2 linked regions of the Rattus norvegicus genome follow. The protein of the gene in region 1 interacts with the protein of each later gene in a biochemical or structural test. Links are inferred from orthologs where the notes say so. Each region holds a gene or a part of one and is shown in the gene's direction. Other genes may lie near its edges. The genes, in order: Sema4d and Cd72.

The links.
Region 2: the proteins of Sema4d (region 1) and Cd72 form a complex in vitro, tested with the Homo sapiens proteins (2 studies listed by BioGRID and IntAct). The link is inferred for Rattus norvegicus from reciprocal best matches to the Homo sapiens genes SEMA4D and CD72.

The regions. Positions count from the first base shown.
Region 1 is NC_086035.1:13,659,868-13,670,756, forward strand, and holds part of Sema4d (semaphorin-4D precursor), read left to right. Parts: intron 1-1,385; coding exon 1,386-1,499; intron 1,500-2,358; coding exon 2,359-2,510; intron 2,511-3,682; coding exon 3,683-3,858; intron 3,859-3,943; coding exon 3,944-4,100; intron 4,101-5,122; coding exon 5,123-5,345; intron 5,346-6,571; coding exon 6,572-6,687; intron 6,688-9,694; coding exon 9,695-9,867; intron 9,868-9,939; coding exon 9,940-9,983; intron 9,984-10,889. UniProt on the Homo sapiens protein: Cell surface receptor for PLXNB1 and PLXNB2 that plays an important role in cell-cell signaling. Regulates GABAergic synapse development. Promotes the development of inhibitory synapses in a PLXNB1-dependent manner.
Region 2 is NC_086023.1:62,487,855-62,497,670, reverse strand, and holds the end of Cd72 (B-cell differentiation antigen CD72), read left to right. Parts: intron 1-1,819; coding exon 1,820-1,971; intron 1,972-2,526; coding exon 2,527-2,642; intron 2,643-3,854; coding exon 3,855-4,002; 3' UTR 4,003-4,007; intron 4,008-4,178; exon of another isoform or gene 4,179-4,206; 3' UTR 4,207-4,516; downstream 4,517-9,816. Other genes in the region: Tesk1 (dual specificity testis-specific protein kinase 1), read right to left, coding at 4,741-5,627, 6,134-6,263, 6,378-6,467, 6,590-6,673, 6,833-6,923, 7,068-7,150, 7,478-7,624, 8,130-8,178 and 2 more. UniProt on the Homo sapiens protein: Co-receptor of B cell receptor (BCR) that plays both positive and negative roles on B-cell functions. Recognizes the Sm/ribonucleoprotein (RNP) self-antigen ligand, and coligation of CD72 and BCR inhibits BCR signaling.

The DNA.
Region 1 (10,889 bases):
GCATCGAGTGCTTCTGTCAGTTGTTGTGCTCACCAGCTGGATGCTCCCTGGCTGCGTGCCTCCTGCTGTGGTCCATCTGAGGCTGGGGGGGGGGGGGGTAACACGCTGTTGTACAGACAGTTTACACTGGGATGACGGTTCAGGCTTCACTGTCAGTGTATAATATCTAGTGAGCTTTGAGGTATTCAGTACTATATTATAAACTTTTAAAAAAATTTTATTTTATTTATGAGTACACTGTAGCTGTTTTCAGACACACCAGAAGAGGGCATCAGATCTCATTACAGATGGTTGTGAGCCACCATGTGGTTGCTGGGAATTGAACTCAGGACCTCTGGAAGAGCAGTCAGTGCTCTTAACCGCTGAGCCATCTCTCCAGCCCCCTAGGTACTATATTATAATACAGGCGTCGTGAGTGACACTTCTGTGCAGTCCTAGGCTAAAGTGTGTATTCTGAGTGTACTAAAGTAGGTGAGGCAGGGTCCCCAGTGGAGGAGTTAGAGAAAGGACTGAAGTAGCTGAAGGGGTTTGCTACCCCCATCAGAAGAACACAGTATCAACCAACCAGACTCCCAGAGCTCCCAGAGACAAAACCACCATCCCAAGAGAACACAGGAATGGACCTAGGGCTCCATCCACACATATAGCAGAGGAGGGGCCTTGTCGGGCATCAGTGGGAGGAGAGGCCCTTGGTCCTGTCAAGGCTCGATGCCCCAGCATAGGGGAATGTCAGGGCAGGGAGGTGGGAGGGAGTGTGTGGGTGAGTGAGGGAGCACCCTCACAGAAGTGGTGGGTGGGGGATGGGATAGCGGGTCTCTGGAGGGGAAGCCAGGAAATGGGTTAACATTTAAAATGTAAATAAAAATATGCAATTAAAAAATAAATCTTTAAAAAAGGGATAAAATAAATAAAGCAGGTGAGGTTGGACCACGCTACCTGGCAGTGTAGGGGCCTTACACATCTTTTTCGACCTACAGTGCTTTTTACTTAGGATGGCTTTCTGGGGTGTCAGACACTGAGGAGTGTCTGTCTGCTGTCTCGATACTGACTGCGGGGAATTCTCATTTGTGACTAGCTATTACCGGTTAACCTGGAAAAACACAGTTAAATTTGGTGACTGTGACTGTTCTGGTGAAAGGCGCTGAAGTAGGGAGCAGAAATTCGTATCGCAGAAGACGGGGAGGCCCCCTTCCCAGCAAGGAATAAATGAATTATGGCAGCCTGGTAGGGGTGTGATAGCCCGGTGGAGGTGGAAGCATGAGGCTTGCTTACGGGCCAGCCTGGGCTAATGTCAGAACTTGTGTTAAACAGTTGTCCCCGGTCTCCACCACAGGCAGAAAAGCTCTGACTGGATCCCCTTCTTGATTCCCTCTTTACCACCGCAGGGGGAGAGCTCTACTCTGGGACTTCATATAATTTCTTGGGCAGCGAACCCATCATCTCTCGAAACTCTTCCCACAGTCCCCTGAGGACAGAGTACGCCATCCCTTGGCTAAACGGTAAGAAGTGGGTGCTGCCAGCCTACCATTTTATCGTTCCTCTGGCTGTCCCCGAACCACGGGGGATGGGGGCTCATGTCAGATCCTAGGCAGTGGGAAGGAACCCTTTGGAATTGCCCGAGGCCCACACCAGAGTAGCTGTCTCGCTCACTGCTAACAGACAGCATTGTTTAAATCTGGTACTGTCGTACCCCAGTCTACCCCATCCCCACCCCCAAAAGTACAGTTTGGGAGCCTTTAATAAAACGAGGCTGTGATGGGAAGTGGAGAATGTAGATACCGAGTCTGGGGTGTGATCTTAGATGTGGAGCCTCCGGGGTCTGGTCAGGAGGTGTTGAAATGTTTCTTTACTGCCAAACAAGATCTTCAGTCTGACTTCAGGGTGTAGATGATGGGGGCCTTTTGTCGGGTGTCTTTTCATGGGGATGCTGGCCAGTGATACTGGGCATTTTTTTTTTTTGAAGCCCTTTGATGTGGAGTCAGACCCTGGGGTCTGAGATATGAGACAGCCAGTTTCTCCTTGGGGCTCCCCAGGAGTCATAATCTCGGCATCCTTCCAGTGGCTGACACTGGCCGGTTTGTCCCTTGTTTAAATCAGCAGATACTCTGGTTTCCCAGACCACTCGCCAGCAGGGAGGCCTCACCTGGCTTTCTCTGTGGCTACCTTGGTGAAGCTGAGAAGGGTGGCAGGCATCATCTGGGCCTGGAGTTCCCGTGTGACACGCACTCTATAGATGTCCTAGAAGGGAAGCCGCCAGGTGCTAAGGCTGCGCTTGCTAGCCTGTGGTACCATGGGGAGCAGGTAGAGGGGTGGCACGGTGGCTCCGTGTACAGAAACGATCCTGATGCCACTCCACAGAGCCTAGCTTCGTCTTTGCTGACGTGATCCACAAGAGCCCAGATGGTACAGAGGCTGAGGATGACAAGGTCTACTTCTTCTTTACGGAGGTGTCCGTGGAGTACGAGTTCGTCTTCAAGTTGATGATCCCGCGAGTTGCCAGGGTGTGCAAGGTGGGTGCTGCCTCCCCTGTCCCCACTCACACTCCTGCCGTGGATGCTGCCTCTCCAAGACTCCTCCCTCTGGAATCGCAGCCTTATCCTATGGGTAGAGACCCCGGTGGTAAAGTTTCATGGATAGTTGAGGCACAGTAAGAGACTCAACAGTGACAAGTGATAAAAGATAAGAGATTTGTGTGAACGGTTTCTCTTGACTCCCGGAGTAGGATCGGGAAGATGGCTTAGTGGTTAAAGTGCTCGCCACGAAAGCAAGAGGAACAGAGTTCAAATCTCCAGAACCTATAGATGCTGAGTGAACCCCCTGTAATTCTGACTTAGAAAAGTGGAGATAGGGTCTCACTGGAGCCAACCTGCTAGTGGGACTCTCCTCGTTGGCAAGCTCTGAGTTTGACTGTGAGACTTTGCCTCAAAGAATAAGGTGGATGGGACCTGACATCAACTTCTGGCCTCCATACCCACTGAGACACGAACACTCATGTAGAAGTGCACCATACACACACACACACACACACACACACACACACACACACACATACACACACACACACAAAAGGAAGGAAACTCAAAGGGGAAAAAAGAACCAAGGTGAGCATTTGTGGTATTTTCAGTATGACTAGTCACAGGGTAACTGAAATTGCAGGAAACCAAGACCACTCACACGGGAGCTGGCTTATTTCTTTCCAGCTCACGGTTGGGTGCAGTTGGTAATTGTTTCCGTTGTCTCCGTTGTCGACTCACTGAAAAGACTCAGGGCTCTAGAGCTTTGTCTGGAATCAAGGAGGCAGAGAGGGCAGGAAAGGAGCTCTTAGTGGACACTCAGATGTTTGCCCAGAATGGTCTGTAGGGCTGAGGTCTGTGGTGGGAACGAGGCCACCCATCATATGCTTATCTCCCGTGTGCTCCTCCCTGGGTCACAGCTGGGAAGGCTGCAGGAGCCAAAGCCAGTGGCACGCTGGGGTGACACAGATGTGGTTGTTTTGGTTGTCACTGAATGTGCCTGGCTCTTTTCTCGTTCTGTGACCCTGGCCCACATGGAAGTTTGCTTTGGTGACATGGCTTGTCTGCAGCAGTCTTGGGCTGGGCTGGTGGCTGGGGACATATGGACGCCTGCTTCTGTGGTTGGCCATCTGTGCTGCCTCTACTGTGTACTGTCTCTGGAATTCCAGGGCGACCAGGGCGGCCTGCGGACTTTGCAAAAAAAGTGGACCTCCTTCCTAAAGGCCAGACTGATCTGCTCCAGGCCAGACAGTGGCCTGGTCTTCAACATTCTTCAAGATGTGTTTGTGCTGAGGGCCCCGGGCCTCAAGGAACCTGTGTTCTATGCGGTCTTCACCCCACAGCTGTGAGTTAGCTCCCTTGGCACTTGGGGCCTGTTCACGCCGATGACCCCCTGCCCTCCTGACGCGCTCACGAATTCCCCTCCACAGGAACAACGTGGGTCTGTCAGCGGTCTGTGCCTACACGCTGTCCACGGTGGAGGCCGTCTTCTCCCGAGGAAAGTACATGCAGAGTGCCACAGTGGAGCAGTCTCACACCAAGTGGGTACGCTACAATGGCCCAGTGCCCACTCCCCGGCCTGGAGCGGTAAGCAGGGTGTCAGGATCTGGGGAGGGCTCATCTTTTCTCTGGATCTCAAGGCCCCACGCATGAAACCACACAGGTCCCAGAGCCTCCTAGCAGCAGGTTGCATGGCAACAGGAATCTGGGCGCCGGGCTGAGTGGCTGTTGGGCCTAGGGTGAAGAGTGAAGCTATTCTTTTCTCATTTCTTCTGTGTTGGGTAACAGGTCTCACTGCCTGCTGCCCGGACGAGAAAGCGTACCACCGGGCTCTTTTGAGAAACGGGCATTGCACAATGGCCGGCTTGCTTCATTTTCTGTTTCCCGCAGAGAAAACCTGTTTGTCAGCATAGCCTAGGCCGTCTCCTGAGCCTGCCTGTCAGCTGGATAATAGGAACCATATTCTTTCCTCCTAGAGACAGTAAATTTGTAAAGAAATTTCTAGGGTTGCTGAACGTTGTTGCCACACTGTGAGTGGGCATGGGGCAGGGTGGCGTTTGGATAGCACCCTGTCTGGCTCTTGAGGCTCTCCCAGGTCAGACCTCTCTGTGGGTGTCTAGCCTTGACCCCTGGTTATTCTTACCTGCGCGCTGTGTTCAATGAAACATGGAGAGAGGGGGCTGGGACAAAACAAAAAAAATCTTTCCAACCTTGTTTTCTTTCGTGCTACCTAGGTAGAATTTGGCTCTGTGTGTGTGTGTGTGTGTGTGTGTGTGTGTGTGTGTGTGTGTGTGTGTGTAAAACAATATTTAACAAGCTTCCTTTGGCACACTTTCTTCTCGAGCTCTCTTCTCACAGAAAAGCTGCTAAATGCATGCTTTTTAATTTGAGAAGTTTGCTGAGTGTTTTCATTGACTACTAATTTCCTTCACCGACCCTGAGACAAGTATGTCACGTGACTGTGATTTAAAAATACAGCTCTTTGTTTCTGGGGAAGCCACCTTCGCCCGTTAGTCTTGGGAGAAGTGTGACTGGGGCCCTTCAGGGCTCTTCTTCTGTGCTCCGTTGATGCTAAGTGGGTGTGTCTCCACGGTGCTTTTACCCCACAGTGTATCGACAGTGAGGCCCGGGCAGCCAACTACACCAGCTCCTTGAATCTCCCAGACAAAACGCTGCAGTTTGTCAAAGACCACCCTTTGATGGACGACTCGGTGACGCCAATAGACAACAGGCCGAAACTGATCAAAAAAGATGTCAACTACACCCAGATAGTGGTAGACAGGACCCAGGCCCTGGATGGGACCTTCTACGACGTCATGTTCCTCAGCACAGGTGGGTTCCCGGGTGAGATTGGGAAATTCGCTTAGTCATTTGTGGGTAAGAGCTGGTCTCTCCAGGTGCAGGAAGGCTTGTGACAGGAGAAGAAGTTTCTGAGGCATCACAGCATCTGGAATTCTGAATCTCCGTGACTATCAGGCACCTCAGGGGCTGGTTACTAATGCAGGCTCCACACCATACCTGGGCTGGAGTGGAGTTAAATAGTCCCTGTTGTCCTGGGACCAGTGGGGTGGCCTGGTATTTCCGAATTGGTAGTGGGAGACTCCACCCCTACTGAGACTCCACCCCCTTCTGAGACTCCACCCCTTTCTGAGACTCCACCCCTACTGAGACTCCACCCACTACCGAGACTCCACCCCCTTCTGAGACTGCTCCCTTCTGGGAGCCAGGGTCCGTCCCGCCCTTAACTGCCTTTGGAAGCACAAATCTCGGACAAGTCTTCTGGGATGGTGATGGAGAGCTGGAGCTTGGCAGATGCTAGAGCCCCGGGGGCTACCCTTAGAGCTTCCCAGGTGGCTTGAACACTTTGCCCTCGCTTGCCTGGCTGGGCCCTAACCTCCCCAGTGGAGTGCAACAGCCACCTTACACCGAGTGTGGCTCAGGTGTCAGGGTGTGATCCTGTTGATGAAGGTCATTGGACTCCACCATGGGACAGAGCTGTCCTCTTTTGAGTGAGCGCCCCATTGAGGGGGTGACTTTGAGCGTGAGTGGTCGCCTTCAAGGCTGGAGTCTCTGCTGGTTTCATTTCTGTTGCCGGGCAAAATTAAAACGCCCCGACAGAAGCACACCTAGGGGAAGAGGGTTTATTTGCCTTTTATGTTGGGTATCGTCTGTCATTTTGAGGGAGTCAGGGCAGGAACTTAAGCAGCGAGTCACGTCATATTTGTAGTCTAGAGCACAGAGAAATGAATGGACCCTCGTTGTCCGCTTGCTGTGTCGCTTGCTGGGATACCTCTGCCTAGCTAGCCAGCTCTCTTCACTTAACATTGTCCACGGGATGGTGCCTTCCACAGTGGGCCAGGCCTTCCCACGTCCGTCGACAATCAAGACAGTCCTCCACAGACCTTTCAGCAGACCAAACAGATCTAGGCCATTCCTCAGTGGAGGCTCTTTCCAGACGATTCCAGGTCGCACTAAGTTGTCACTTAAAACTAACCAAGGTGGCGCCCTTGGCATTTCCCTCTAGGACCTCCTTGCTCACCTGTGTTTTGACCTTGCAGACCGGGGCGCTCTGCATAAAGCTGTCATCCTTGCAAAAGAGGTACACGTGGTTGAGGAGACCCAACTCTTCCAGGACTTCGAACCGGTCCTGTCTCTGCTGCTATCATCAAAGAAGGTAATGTGGTCTGAGGGGCAGGTCCAGGCGCTTGTCTCCCTCGGGAGCTTCTCTGTGACTAGGACTAGATAGGATGGTCTCTCAAGGCTTGGCAGCCTCTGGTCTTCCTGGCCCGGGTGAGCTGACCTTTAGACTCTCAGCAGTCTTCCATGGGATCTGAGGCCTGGGAGGAGGACGGTAGAGCCAGGGAGGTTGATGTGCTAAGCCCCTAGAGCTTTTAGGAGGTCACTAACCTGGGAAAATGTCTTTGTGCCGTGAACTTGAAAGAATGCAGACTGTGCTGCTGGGACAGGACACTCATTTTTAAGGAGAAATAGCAGGTCACCCTCTAGAGCTCCCATTGCCACACCATCCTGTGTATCCAGCTGCCTTTGCAGAGGCCTCAGTCATGGTCGCTTGGCTCTGCACTGTGGCTCCCACAAAGCCATGGAAACACATAGATGACCAAACCTGCCCTTGAACCCTTGAAGCCAAGCTCTGCGTCACCTGAGGTTTTCATAAGAAGCTTCAGCCAGGTAGTGGTAGTGCACACCTTTGATCCTGGCACTCGGGAGGCAGAGACAGGTAGATCTCTGTGAGTTCAAGGCCAGCCTGGTCTTCATAGTGTGTTCCAGGCCAGCCAGAACGATGTAGGGAGACCCTGTCTTCAAACAACAACAACAACAACAGCAAATTAACTAATTAAATATTTTTTAAACCCCTGAATGGAGCACAGTGGTTCTTCATACCTATAGTTTCAGACCTTAGAACATGGAAGATCAAGAGTTCAAGGCTAGTCTTAGCCACATCACAAAATCAAGGCCAACCTGAACTAAGTGAAACCCCATTGCAAAAGTCAAGTGATACACAAAAGTCCTTTAGGTGGTGGAGTCTATAGAAAAGGCCCAGGGGCTGGGTTTGGTTCACTGGCTGGAACTTGTTTCTTATCCACTGGCCTTGGGAAGGCCTGGACACCACATTTTACGTCTAGGATAGAGCAGTGAGATTCAGAATGTGGGCTGTCTCCCAGTCCTGATTATGCTATGCTGCCATGTGACCCTGGGCGTCACTGTGTGATCCTCATAAGGTGGTCTCTCTGTGTGTAAGCTTCTCATTAATGTGACTGTGAGCATGTGAGCCTCCTGGGTGCTAAGGACGGGCTTTGAGCAGCACTGAACCCAGGGACAACTAGGAGCAGGATCAGCGGCCACCTGCCCTGCTTCATAGCTGCTGGCCAGAGGTGCTCCCCTCTCCTTGCTAGGACTGTGCTGTAACCCACTGAACAGATGGGTCCAGGGACACACTTATGGCTTCAAGTGTCTCTGATGCCTGCCTCTGGGACACTGCTGAACTCTGTGGCCTGGTGTTACCTTTCCCTGTGGACTGCACATCTGTGGGCTCCATGTCTGCTGTTCAGTTCTCTTTAGGTAGCTGGCCACGGCAGATACCCAGGGCCCATCAGTCTCACCCGTGTGCTGGCCTCCTGCCAGCGCCAGGTACGGTGCTGACCTTGGCCTAGCAACCACATGGTACGCTCCTGTCCTGGAAGTCAGAGCCTTGTATGTGCTAAGCTCTGTGTGGTTACACACGGTGGTGGGGGTGGTATGTGTGTGGAGGGAATGGCCTATTTTTGCGGCTCTGTGCTCACAAATGCAGGCAAATGGGAAATCAAACGGCAGTGTCTCTTGCTGGGTTAAGCTTGATGGCCTTCCGTTTGTTCTTTGCACGACGTTGATAGACGTGGTCACATTGGCCTGCCGGATTCAGAGATGAATGATAAGGAAGTGTCCTTAGCACAGGTACCTACTGTCTGTCACAAGACAAGGCTGGCATTTAAAGGCTCTGCCCTGTGGCTTCCAGCTGCAGTGCTGCGTCACCTACAGAGAGTCCAGGAGAGCAGTGGGGGATGTCAAATTAGGAGTGGGAAGCAGCTGAAGAGGTCTGTTACATGGGTTTTCTCAAGACACAAATGAAAGTCTCTTTACCCCAGGCAGGGCACTGAGGACAGACCAGTCCAGCTCAGCGAGCCAGTGAGTTATGGGGGAGTTAGCTACAGAGGAAGAGGGAGGGTTGATTTACAAGCCCGTGGGTGACTCAGAGGCAGCTGCATGGACAGCCTACCCCAGCATAAGTGACATTCACAAAAGCTGCAGCGAAGGAACTCCCTGCACGACTGGTAGGCAGCTCGGCAGGACAGAGCCCCGTCTCTGACAGCACTTGTGTATTGCTTATATAGCCCTGACGGAGCGGGAGCTTGTGAATCTTATTACTTGTCAGGCTTCCTAGATTTCCTTTACTGAGAGTCTTGTGAGCCTCCCTCCGCCCTCCGGGAGGACACGTTTCAGTTGGGCAGAAACAGGAACAGAGTTGTCTTTTCTCGAAAGAGAAGCTACTTCGGGAGGGACTGCAGTACGCCCCGCCACAGGTCTAGCCCCAGATATGGAAGGGTGGCATCAGATCTGCAATTCCTTGGGTGGTGTTTGAACCCTCCTGGGGTACAGGACACCCTATATTTCCATACGAGATTTCTGTCTTAGTGTGCTTTTTTTTCTGTTGCCATGATAAACCACTCTGACCAAAAGCAGCTTGGAGAGGAAAACGTCTGTTCCGGCTCAAACATCCAGGTTGTAGTCTGTCGTTGAGGGAAGCCAGGGCAGGACCAGAGACCATGGAGGAAAATGGCTTATTGGCCAGCCCTCCTGGCTTCTGCTTAGCTACTGTTTTACAAAGTCTAGGACTATCTGGGTGCCATCCCCCACAGCAGGCTGAACCCACCTACCATTACCTAGCAAATAAGAAAATGCCCCACGGACAGGTCCTGGGTTGATCTGATGTAGGCAATTCCTCAGCCGCAGTTCTCTGCCCCGCAAGCGTGTCAAGGTGACAATGAAAACTAATTTCAGGACACTGTCGTTTAGGCCAGGGAGTCTTTTCCTCCCTGCAGTACTTGAACGCAATGTCTTCCCAGTCTCGGGACTTCCCAGTGCCCATGTCCTCCTTACACCTGCCGTCTGTCTCTCATGCACAGGGGAGGAAGTTTGTCTATGCTGGCTCCAACTCAGGAGTGGTCCAAGCTCCCCTGGCCTTCTGCGGAAAGCACAGTAGCTGTGAAGACTGTGTGCTAGCACGGGACCCCTACTGCGCCTGGAGCCCAGCCATCAAGGCCTGTGTTACCTTGCACCAGGCAGAGGGCTCTAGCAGGTATGAGTATGGTTAAGACTATGTGCGTGTGCCCGGTGCACAGGCTAGAGAGTAATGTGCGCTGTCTTTTAGGGGCTGGATTCAGGACATGAGTGGCGACACGTCCTCGTGCCTGGGTGAGTGGATCTCCTTTGTTTCCGCCCTTGGGTTGGCAAAGTTCCTGGGGCGTCAGTTCCGCGGTGTCCGGTATCCCTGTACAACTCGTTTTCCTCCTCTCCAGACAGAAGTCAAGTGTCACGCAGCAGACCTGGTGGACCTGTGGTCTTTCTCTGTCCCTTTGGTTACAGAAAGAGGGCTCACAGCCACACGGGGTATATCGGTTCACGGGAAAGCATGCCCTGTCCCACACCAAGTTCTTCTGTTCCGCTTAGCGGGGCCCCGTAGACAAAACCCGAGCCTGCTAGGAATTGAGAAGGAAGGAGTCCTTGGGTATGGTTTGATAGCCCTAACCTAAAAACAGCACTCAGGAACAGTGGGGATCAGTGTCATGCTTCGAGGAGCAAAGTCTTACCCTAGAAAGTAGTATCTTGACGCTAGGGAGACGGCTCCATTGGTAGGATCTGAGTTCGATCCCCAGAACCCATGTAACAACTGGGCATTGGTGGTCCATGCTTGTGATCCCAGCCCTAACGAGGGTGAGGCAGGTGGGTCCCTGGAGCTGCTGGCCTCACACAGCCTAGTTGGCTAGACAAGTACCAGAAAAAGACAAAGTGGGGTGGAGGTGGGGAAAACTGCTACCTGAGGGTGACACTTGGTAGATTTCTGGCCTCTTTCTATATAAACACACACTTGGCATCAGATTGCTTTCAGGCTCTCTGTGTAAGGTGACACAAATGACAAAGAATTCATGTTGAGACTTCGGCCCCCTTCCAAAGATAGTCGTCTTGTTTTCTACGTGCAAATATTCCCAAACCCAAAGCGTTTCCCATCTCCCGTATTTCAGACAACAGACACAGTTGTGATTAGTTCTGGTGTCCTCTTGGGGGAGGGGGCAACCTTGCTGATGGCTAGCTGTCAGGGAA
Region 2 (9,816 bases), on another chromosome or scaffold:
TATAAGTACCCTGTAGCTGTCTTCAGACACACCAGAAGAGGTCATCAGATCCCATTACAGATGGTTGTGAGCCACCATGTGGTTGCTGGGATTTGAACTCAGGACCTCTGGAAGAGCAGTCAGTGCTCTTAACCACTGAGCCATCTCTCCAGCCCTATAGCCAGCTTTCTGTGAGGATTCTTTGACCCCACCTTCTACTCACTTGGCATTCACTTGGTGTCTTAGTTACTTTTCTATTGCTGTGACAAAACACCAAGACCAAGGCAACTTGTAGAAGAAAATCTTTAATTAGCTTGTGTTTTCGGAGTGTTAGAGTCTGATGGTAGAGCCAAGGCACCAGGAACAGCTGAGAGTTCCCATCTTGATCCACAAGCAGGAGACAGAGAGAACTCACTGAGGGTAGCAGGAGTCTTTTAAACCTCAAGCCTAGTCTGGCCCCACCTCCTTCCACAAGGCCACAGTCACTAGTCCTTCCCAAACAGTTGTATCAATTGGGGTGCAAGCATTCAAATAGATGAGCCTATGAGGGCCATTCTCATTCAAGTCACCACACTCAGGTGCTGGGATCTTAAGTTTGGTCCTCATGCTTGTGTGCCAAGTGCTCTAACCACTGATCCAACCCTAGTTATGGGCAAATCCTTCAAAACCACAAATCTGATCATGCTGTCCCTGTTGAGGCCATGGCATTCTTATTAGTTATCCAAGCAGTAATGGGGCATAAATACACTCGAGCGTGTGCCCAGACACAGGTATGGAGAGAGAGCACACAATTCCTTGATGTGAAAGTCAACAGTATTGTTCTCTTCCTCTTAATAGAACAATAAAATCTTGAGACAGACATGGTGACACGTAACTTCAGCATTTAAGAAGCTCAGGCAGGAGGATGAGGAAATTGAGCCCAGCCTAGGCTATATCTCTCTGTCTCTCTGTCTCTGCTCTCTCGCTTTCTTTCTCTCTCATTGACATGGTTCTCAAGGCTCTGCCTACCTTTAGATATGTTTATCTCTCACTCTCTTCAAATCAGTCACACCCAACTAAAAAAAAAAATTCCTTTAAGTTGCCACAGCACAGAAAAATGGGAGAAGCTGGATGGAGACATAAGAAAATGTAGGGGAGAGAGAGAGAGAGAGAGGAAGAAAAGAGAGGAGAGGAGAGAGGGAGAAGAGAGAAGGATAGAGACAGGAAGACAGGAAGAGAGATAGCATGTGTGAGAGACAGAGAGAGAGTCCGGCGGTGGACAGGGAATGATTTCTGAATGTTGGCTAGGTCTGATAAGAGTCGTTTGTGATCAAGAGCAGAGTGGGGCGTTGGATGTTAAAGAAGGATTCATTTCTTACAGGTAATCCGGAAAAGAACAGAGATCAGCATTTTTAAGTAGAGAAGTGGAAATGGAGAATATTCATAATTTTTAGAAAAGCAGGAACCAAGTTTGTCTGCTTACAGAGTTGTGGAGAGAGATGTGGCCACAGGCTGGAGGAGTGTGGCAACCTCTGAATGTGTTAGGGATTAAATGGAATGAATGAGTGAGTGAATGAATGAATGAGAAGCCCATTGATCAGTGTGGGAGCTAGGCAAGGTTGGCAAGTTTAGGGCAGATTTTAATGTTTCAGAACCCAGGGACAGTGTACTAACTCCACTAGGAAATTCTTCCCATGTTATTAAGGAGTAAAATGTTTTCAGAAGAGGCAAAAAGATCGCAAAGATCAAGGACTAAAGCTGACAAAACCGACATTGAGAGCAGACCCTTAGGGTCAATCAGCTGGCCAATTAGTCAATTTACCCCAAGAGTTGTGGCTGTCATATTCTTTCTGCTTTGTAGACACCTGCTGTCCAAGTGGATGGGTTCAGCATGAGAAAAGGTGCTTTTACATCTCAAATACCCCCAGAAGTCTGGAGGAGAGCCGAAAATACTGCACATCTCTGTCCTCCAAACTGGCTGTGCTCAACGAACCTCCTAGGTATTCCCTACAAGTGAGCATGACCTTATCTATATTTTGAGGTGGAGGTATGTAAAGAGATGTGTGCTATCAAGTCAGGAATGGCAGTGCACATCTGCACACAAGCCATGGTTTACATTGCTTCCCCAAGACAGATATGGAAGTCACACTATTAGCCAGTAAGTGTGGCAATAGTTGGGCATTCTCACTCCCGTGATATCCCATGGCTCCTATTGTTTAGCATCCGTGAGAGCTGACATGTCTGAGCCATCTCCACTTCAGTCTGTCTTGGCTTGCTGGCCTGCCCCTTGCCTGCTTAATTCCTCATTGACTCCTCTCAGGCCGAGTGCCAACCCCCTGACACTCATCTGAGACCGGAAGTTCACAGGCTGACTCCACTTCCCTGCTTGGAGGGGAGATGGAGAGTGAGCCTGTGTCTGGTAACACTGGAAGGATAGATGCAGGAGCAATTAATTAATTCATGTACTAAGTGGGCGTGGCCTCTTGCTAAGTGAAATTCATAGGCCCCTAGGGTGCCCCCACTTTACTCTGTATTCTCATTGTTCTCTTACCCCTCTGAACCCCCTAGGATTCTCTGCCTGATGGCTTAAAGAAGTTGCTAGATCGTTCAAAGTCATATTGGATTGAGCAGATGAGCCATACTGTATATTATCCACAAAACATGAAGAACATGAAGGGGAGGAGGTATTGTCATCTCAGTTTTTTTTTTTTTCTTTTTTCTTTTTTTTTTTTTTTGGATCTGGGGACCGAACTCAGAGCCTTGCGCTTGCTAGGCAAGCGCTCTACCACTGAGCTAAATCCCCAACCCCTGTCAACTCAGTTTCTTATAAAGGCATATTACTTCCTTAAGTCCTGCTCCCAAAACTCCCCCACAAATCGGTATTGTGGTTTCTTGTTTCTTTTACTTGATTAACATATTAACTTGTTTAAGATATTAAAAACAAAACGTGTTGGTGGAGGGGTGCCACAGGGCAGGCAGAGGACGGCTGTGGGGGGCAGTTCTCTCCTACTGTGTGGGTCTCGGGGACTGCTCCCAGGCTGTGGTGCTCACCTGCTAAGTCATCTCACTGACGTGCACCTTACTCCATACTCCATCCATAGTGCCTGGAGGTCTCTAGTGCATACTTACATTACAATGGCATTTTCCTGTAACCCTAGCACTCAGGAGGCTGAGGTAGGATTGTGAGTTAAGGCCAGTCTGGGCTACACAGCAAGACCCCTTCCCACATCTCTAAAAACAAATTAGGCTGAGAAGCGATTTCAGCAAGGCTTCTCAGGCAGAGGAGTGCTGGCATTGACCTAAGCCTTGACAGGCTGCCCAAACAGACAGCTTGCTTAGTCCATGCCAACTGGGGCACTAGACCGGTCTCAGGAGAGGGCAGAGTAGCTGCAGTTTTGCTCCAGGGACCCCAAAGCAGGGCGCTACTTCATGTTCCATGGGGTTTGAGGTCTGTGACTCCTGGGTGCTGTAAAGGTGCACGAAGTCACACCCAACTCCTTACGTGCAGCTTTCCTCTTTTAAGACTTGGGTGAGGGCTGGAGAGATGGCTCAGTGGTTAAGAGCACCCGACTGCTCTTCCAGAGGTCATGAGTTCAATTCCCAGCAACCACATGGTGGCTCACAACCATCTGTAAAGAGATCCGATGCCCTCTTCTGGTGTATCTGAAGACAGTTACAGTGTACTTATATATAATAAATAAATAAATCTTTAAAAAAAAAAAAAAAAGACTTGGGTGAGTTTTCCTCTGTGGCCTTAAGGCCTGTGGAGCTGAAGTTCAGAAACCTGTTCCTGAACCATGTGGCCCTAGCAGGTCATAGGCTTTGGACTAGGTTTTACAAAGAGCAAGGGAAAGGAGGGACTTGCAGACTCTAAAGTATATCCCAACTCTTCACAGGTCCGATTCTCATTCTCAAAGCTCATGTTACCTGATAAAATGTTACCATTCATGGTGGTATGAAAGCTCATACACGTGTACAGACCTTTTCCCCTGCATTTGTGAGCTGGAGGCGCTCAGGTTTCCTGATGGGATCCATCTGAACTGAAATGGGTAAGCATGAGGGAGATGAGGCATGGGTGTGTGGACAGAGGCCCAGAGGACTTTGTCCCCTCGTTTGTCTCATCCCCCACCTCCAGTGGCTGTCTGCTTACACAGGGCCAGGCGAGGCAGGGAACAGAGAGGAGCTGGGGAGAAATAGGATGAGGGCTAATGAAGTCAACTGGAGCTCACTGGTGCTTTATTTTTCCAGACACTTCAACAAGACCTTGTGACCTACATCCTTAACCTATGGCCTGCCAATTCTCAAGACTGCTATTCCTCCAGCACTCCCTCACTCTTGGGCACGCCCAGCTAAGGGCTGATTCTGGTCTGGCGACCTGCTGCTTGCTTGAAAGCTGCTCCAGAAACTATTCTTGGGAAGAGTAAAGAAGCCTCCAGAAAAGACTTTGACCTTCCTTAAGAACTTCCCGAACTAGAGATGGGTCAGGGGAGGGCGCTCCGCTGAGTGGATGGATGGCCCGGAGCCAGCCAGGCAGTTTTATTGAAATATTTTTAAATAATTTGCACGTGTTAGTCTTGTGTGTCAGCAATGCTGTGTCTAGTCCAGTGATCCCAGGGGTTGGACAGGAAGTGCTCTGTCCATTGAGACCATGCTGAGGCTCCCCTATACGGGGAGAAGAGCCAGTCAGCCCATCTGGGGCTGGCATTGTCCAGCAAGTGCACTCTGTCCTTACAGGGTATCCCGAAGGCCAAGGTTGGAAGCCTGAGATCACAGGCCTCACTGCTAAGAGCGTGCCCCAGGCAGCTGCAGGCTGGGTGTGGGTGGCTTGGCATGATGCCCTCGGTGGCAGAGAAGACTGCCCGCCTCACAGTTCAAGTTGCGGTAGCGGGCAACAGCTGGGGTAGGGCGGGGGCACATGGATAGGAAGCCAAAGCTGAAGGGGCTGAGGCAGCAGCCAGGGCAGGGAAGCCCCTCCTCCTGCTCCCGGGGAGCTGATGGGGGTGGTGAGGGTTCTGTCCGCTCCAGGGCTGCTGCCCGGGGAAGGCTATGCTGTGCCCGGTTCCAGGGCTCCCTCGCCCATCCTTGTGGGGAATTCACCACCACAGCAGGGGGGTTATTATTGAGGGAAGGTCCTGGTCTAGCAGACCAGGGCTGAGAGGCTGAGGAACACGTACTGATGAAGTTGTCAGTGGCCACAGCCAGAGGCAGCTGGGGAGCCGGCCCTGGGGGCTCTGGCTCAGGGCTGCTGCCCTCACAGTCCATCCTTTCCTCAGTCGAGGGGCCCACGGGGGACGGGCCAGGACCTGGCAGTGCAGTTTCCATCCGTCGGGGGAGCTCAGGGGATGAAGGGAGTGAACGACAGCGGCGGACGGGAGTCTCAGGCTGGACCAGGGACTCTGGAGAGGCCACCAAGGGCAGCTGGGTAGAGGTCAGTGGTGATGGTGGCACCAGGGGCAGTGGAGTGGCCGGCTTGCAGGGTGTGTCCAGAAGTTTGATCTTGCCACCCCTGAGGTCTTCCCGCAGTGAGAAGGGGTTGACTCGTGTTAGATTGTCCCCCCAACTGGGGGGTGATTCTGGTGAAGGTGGCAGGAAGAGGTCTGACCGGCTTCGGGAGAGCCGGGGGTCTGACCTGGGAAGCGTGGCAGAGGGACCTCCTCTTGGAACAGACCCTGTGGAAAGAGAGGTGTGAGATCACTGTCCTCAGCATCTGTGCAGAGCTGAGGCCCTCGATCCCCAGGAAGGTGGTGGGACATGAGCTTAAGAAAGGGAAGCCTACAGGTGCTCTGGAAGGGATGACTGTTATTTCCCGCTACCTTGTTTAGTCTGTATGAACCACAGGACACTGAAGTTGTCAACTGAGGTCAGAGGTCAGAGGACAACTTTCAGGTGTTAGTTTTTAGCTTCCATGATGTAGATCCCAGTGATGGATCTCAGGTCCTTATGCAAATGACTGAACCTGTTGAGCCATTTCACCAGCCCCTCCAGCTACCTTTCTACCGCCCTTTTCTGCTTCCTTGGGCTCTAGCAATAAAAACCCATCTTCTATGAGATGCCTCTCCACCCTCCCACCTGACTGCCTACCTTTTAACTCATAGATCCAATTAGCCTCCTCCAGATAACTGATTCTCAGGAGAGGCAGAAGGACTTCTGCTGGGTCAAGGTCATGCTCACGTACCCTGATTGTATGTCAAGGGAGCCTTGGCAAGGGGCATCTTGGCGAGGGGCGTGGGCTCAGGCAGCTGCTCCAGGATTTGTTCCAGGTGCTGGGTAATTTCAGTAAAAGGGGCACGGGCGCTGGGTTCCATCTGATGGATAAAGACAGCTTTGCTCAGGGCTCAGAAGATGGTGAGTTTCCTCCACTATCTCCCCAGACATAGAAGACAACTCATGGTTAGGGGCAGGGCAGGGGTAACACTTACGCTGCAGCAGTGGATGGCCAGAAGCAGGAAAGGTAGCGGACAGTCATTTCCCACCAGAGTTCGAAAAGCAGGCACATCCAGACCAAAGTCCTGTGGGGACAGAGGAGGGGCTGCCAAGTTAGCCTTCAGTGGGCTCTCCTTGTGCCCCACTGTGAGAATCGACCCCACAGAGCCCTTCTTGGTTGAGGCACATACAGTGGAGGTTACTTCACCTCAGTACGGGGTAGGTAGTCAGGGTCTGCAGGTACTCGGGCGATGAGCTCACAGAGGACAATCCCAAAGGCGAAGACGTCGGCCTGGAGGGAAGTGGGCCATGCCAAGGGGGAGGAGTCAGCACTTATCTTGGGTTGGAAGGGTGGCAGTGAGGGGTAAGGGGCAAGGCCGGGGGCTCCACATATATAACAGAGCTGTTGGATGGGGGCTCTCAAGGTCTCTGGGGGGCTTGAGGCTCTTACCTTCTCATCATACAGCTCTCCCCGCAATACCTCTGGGGCCATCCAGTATGGGGAGCCCACCACAGCCAATGGCTCCTTCCTTGCCCCTTCCCTGCAGAGGCAGGGTGGTCAGAATCTTCTATTCAGACATCCCCAGACGAAAGGGGATGGGGTAAGCCTCCTCTCCACCCACAGAAAGCACCACTGGCGTAGGGCAACCCTGGGAGGCTCCGGGTAAGAAGGGTGGCCATCTTACCTATACACAGGGATCTTTTCAGCCAGTCCGAAGTCACCCACAACAGCTGTGAAGCCTCCGTCTTCCCGTCGGACCAGACAGTTCTGACACACACACACAAGCATCCTCACACACCCATCCCCTGCTCTCTGGTCCTCTAGTATAGACCCCAAAGCCCCGTGTCACCACAGCACTAAGCACTACTCCAACCTTCCCTCCCGGTTCTCCAAGGCACCTCATCATTGCAGTATCACTCAGCAGTCAGTGTGATACTCAGTTCCTCAGCCCTCCTGCTGTCCCCGTTCTTTCCAATGCCTTGGCACCCCGACATTCTAACATATCTTCTACCCACATGCCAACATCCACAGGCCAATTACAACTTAACAGCTCCAAATCCTCTTTCATCGTTCCACCCACCTTGGCCAGCCTACCTTGGATGTGAGGTCTCGGTGAAACACACCTTTGGCGTGTAGGTACCGTAGGCCTTGTGCAATGTCCAGTGCTAGGTGGAGCCTGACTGGCCAGGAGAGGGGTTCTGGGGAGCTCAGCAGCTGTTCCAGGGTACCCCCATTCATATACTGGGACATAGGGGAAAGAGAAGGGGCTTCAGTCTGTATTCTATGTCTGCCACTCCTGAGAGAGTTGACACTCAGGAGGCTCACAAAGAACAGATGGGTGAGTCTGTGCTCTAAGGTTCCCATTTATATACTAGGCTGCCCTGTCTCCCAAGGTAGGACTATGTGCAGCTATGTCATCCAATACATTTAAATACAATCAGACATTCTTCTGTTACACTAGCTCTTGCTTTAGGCTACTCCATGTGTAGTTAGGGGATCCTGTGTTGGCAGGCCAGCACTGTTCCCAGGGATATAGACGGAATAACTCCAGCTGAGGATTCTAATAAGTGGTTTGCCCAAAAGAGAAGTTCAGGAAGCCTCCAGTTGGAGGAGGTCCTGAGGTCCTGGGCAGGCAGGTGGCTTCTTTTTAATTTCCTAGCAGATCCACCAAGATCACTGACTGACACTTTCACTTGGAGGTGTGGTGCCTTCCTTCCCTGTTTCCTGGCCTATGCTCAATGCTTACCTCTGTAAGCGCGTGCAGCTGCCCTTGGTGCACACAGACCCCCATGAACCTGAAAGTCGATGAAAAGGATAGGATAGGCTGTAAGAGGGGGGTGGCGTGGGGGACCGCATCTCCCTCCTTTCCTGAGGGAACTTTCCCTCCCAGCACACAAGCTGCCCAGCAAGAGGCTAGGCCGTTCACCTGAGGATGTTAGGATGCCGGAGCCGGTTCATCAGCTGCACCTCCCTTAGAGTGTTGCTCCGGTTACTGGGGAGCTTGTTCATCTTCAGCACCATGACTTGTCCCGACTGTCGGTGCCGAACCTGGGGGAGGCAAGGATTGGTGTGTGCCCTGCAGGTTAGGTGGCTAGCCCTAGTCGGATCTCTTAACCCAGGCTGTGGGCCCCTAAGTTCTAGCCTCCCGTCCAAGGCTCGGTCCCGCCCCTCTGTCCTCTCTGCGAGTCCTACCTTATAGACCTCAGAGAAGAAACCAGCCCCGATCTTCTCTGCGCAGTCGAAATCGTCCACGCGCGCCAGGCTGGACACGGCGCTGCGGAGGGCCCGGTAGGAGGAGGGCCGGCCCCGGCCCGGGCCTCCGCCTGCGCCCCCCGGCCCCTCCACCGGAGTCTCTCCGGGCCCGGGGCCCCGCAGCGGTGGCCGTTCCCCGGCCATGGCCGGGCCCCCAGCCCCGGCCTGCTTCACATGGCCGGATCCCCGGGACCCGGGCAGGCCGCGCTCGCCATGGGCGCCGGCCCAACCTGATCCCGGGTGCCGGGACTCCCGCCCGGCGGACTCCGGGAGGACCTGCCGAAGGTCCTGGGCCCGCCCCCGCCGCGCCGGCGAGTTGGGCCTGGTGGAACGCCGCGGCTCTCCGCTCTGCGCGGGGCCTGGGCCTGGGCCTGGGCCGGGCGGCGGCGGCGCTCCCGGGCGCCGGCGGCGGGCTCCCCGCGGGCGGCTGCTGCTCCGCTTCGCCGCCGGGCTCAGGCTGCGCGGCCTGCCCGGGGCGGGGCCGGGCCCGGTCTGCGGTTAACTCCTTGGAGCCCGAGCTGTGGCCCGGCCACGCCCCCTCAGGTGCGTCCCGGCGCGTAGGCCGGGGCGTGAATAACAGGACGACTTAAGGGTTGACTGCAGGCGCGAATTCTCCTGCGCCCTGGGCTCCACGGATCAAGCCCGCTGCCTGCCCAGTCTGCGCCCCACTCCGACTGCCCATTTCAAGGGGCTTCTGACCCCGACACCCTAAATCTCGGGGCTCGCTAACACCTGTTTTCTCCGGTCGTGGTACCCAGGGCTGTAGGGAGCCTCTGGCCTCCGCATCCCTGACCTGCCCCGACCCCTCCTCACTCCATCTCCATTCCCCTGAGTAAAGTTGAGATTCCTGCGCTCCGCCCGGTGACCACCCTCCTACTTCTTTGTCCTAATAACCCTCTTAGGGGAAGCCTGCACCTGCAAGAAAGTCCCGCCCTCCGTCACAGCCCACCCCTCGACAGGATCCCTCCCCCTCAAAGGCCGCTGCCCCTCGGAGCCCGCTCTCCTTCAGGGGGACCTTTCCTTGGGATGACACTGGCACATCAGTGTGTATCCAGAGCCCCTTAGTGCTGCACCCCCTCCTCTTTGTGTTCCTTTCACTAAAAGAGACCTTTCAGAGTGACTCGGCTAATCATTGTGACCGCTCCTCTCAAGGTGACTCCTCCCCTAGCTCTCGCCCAGCG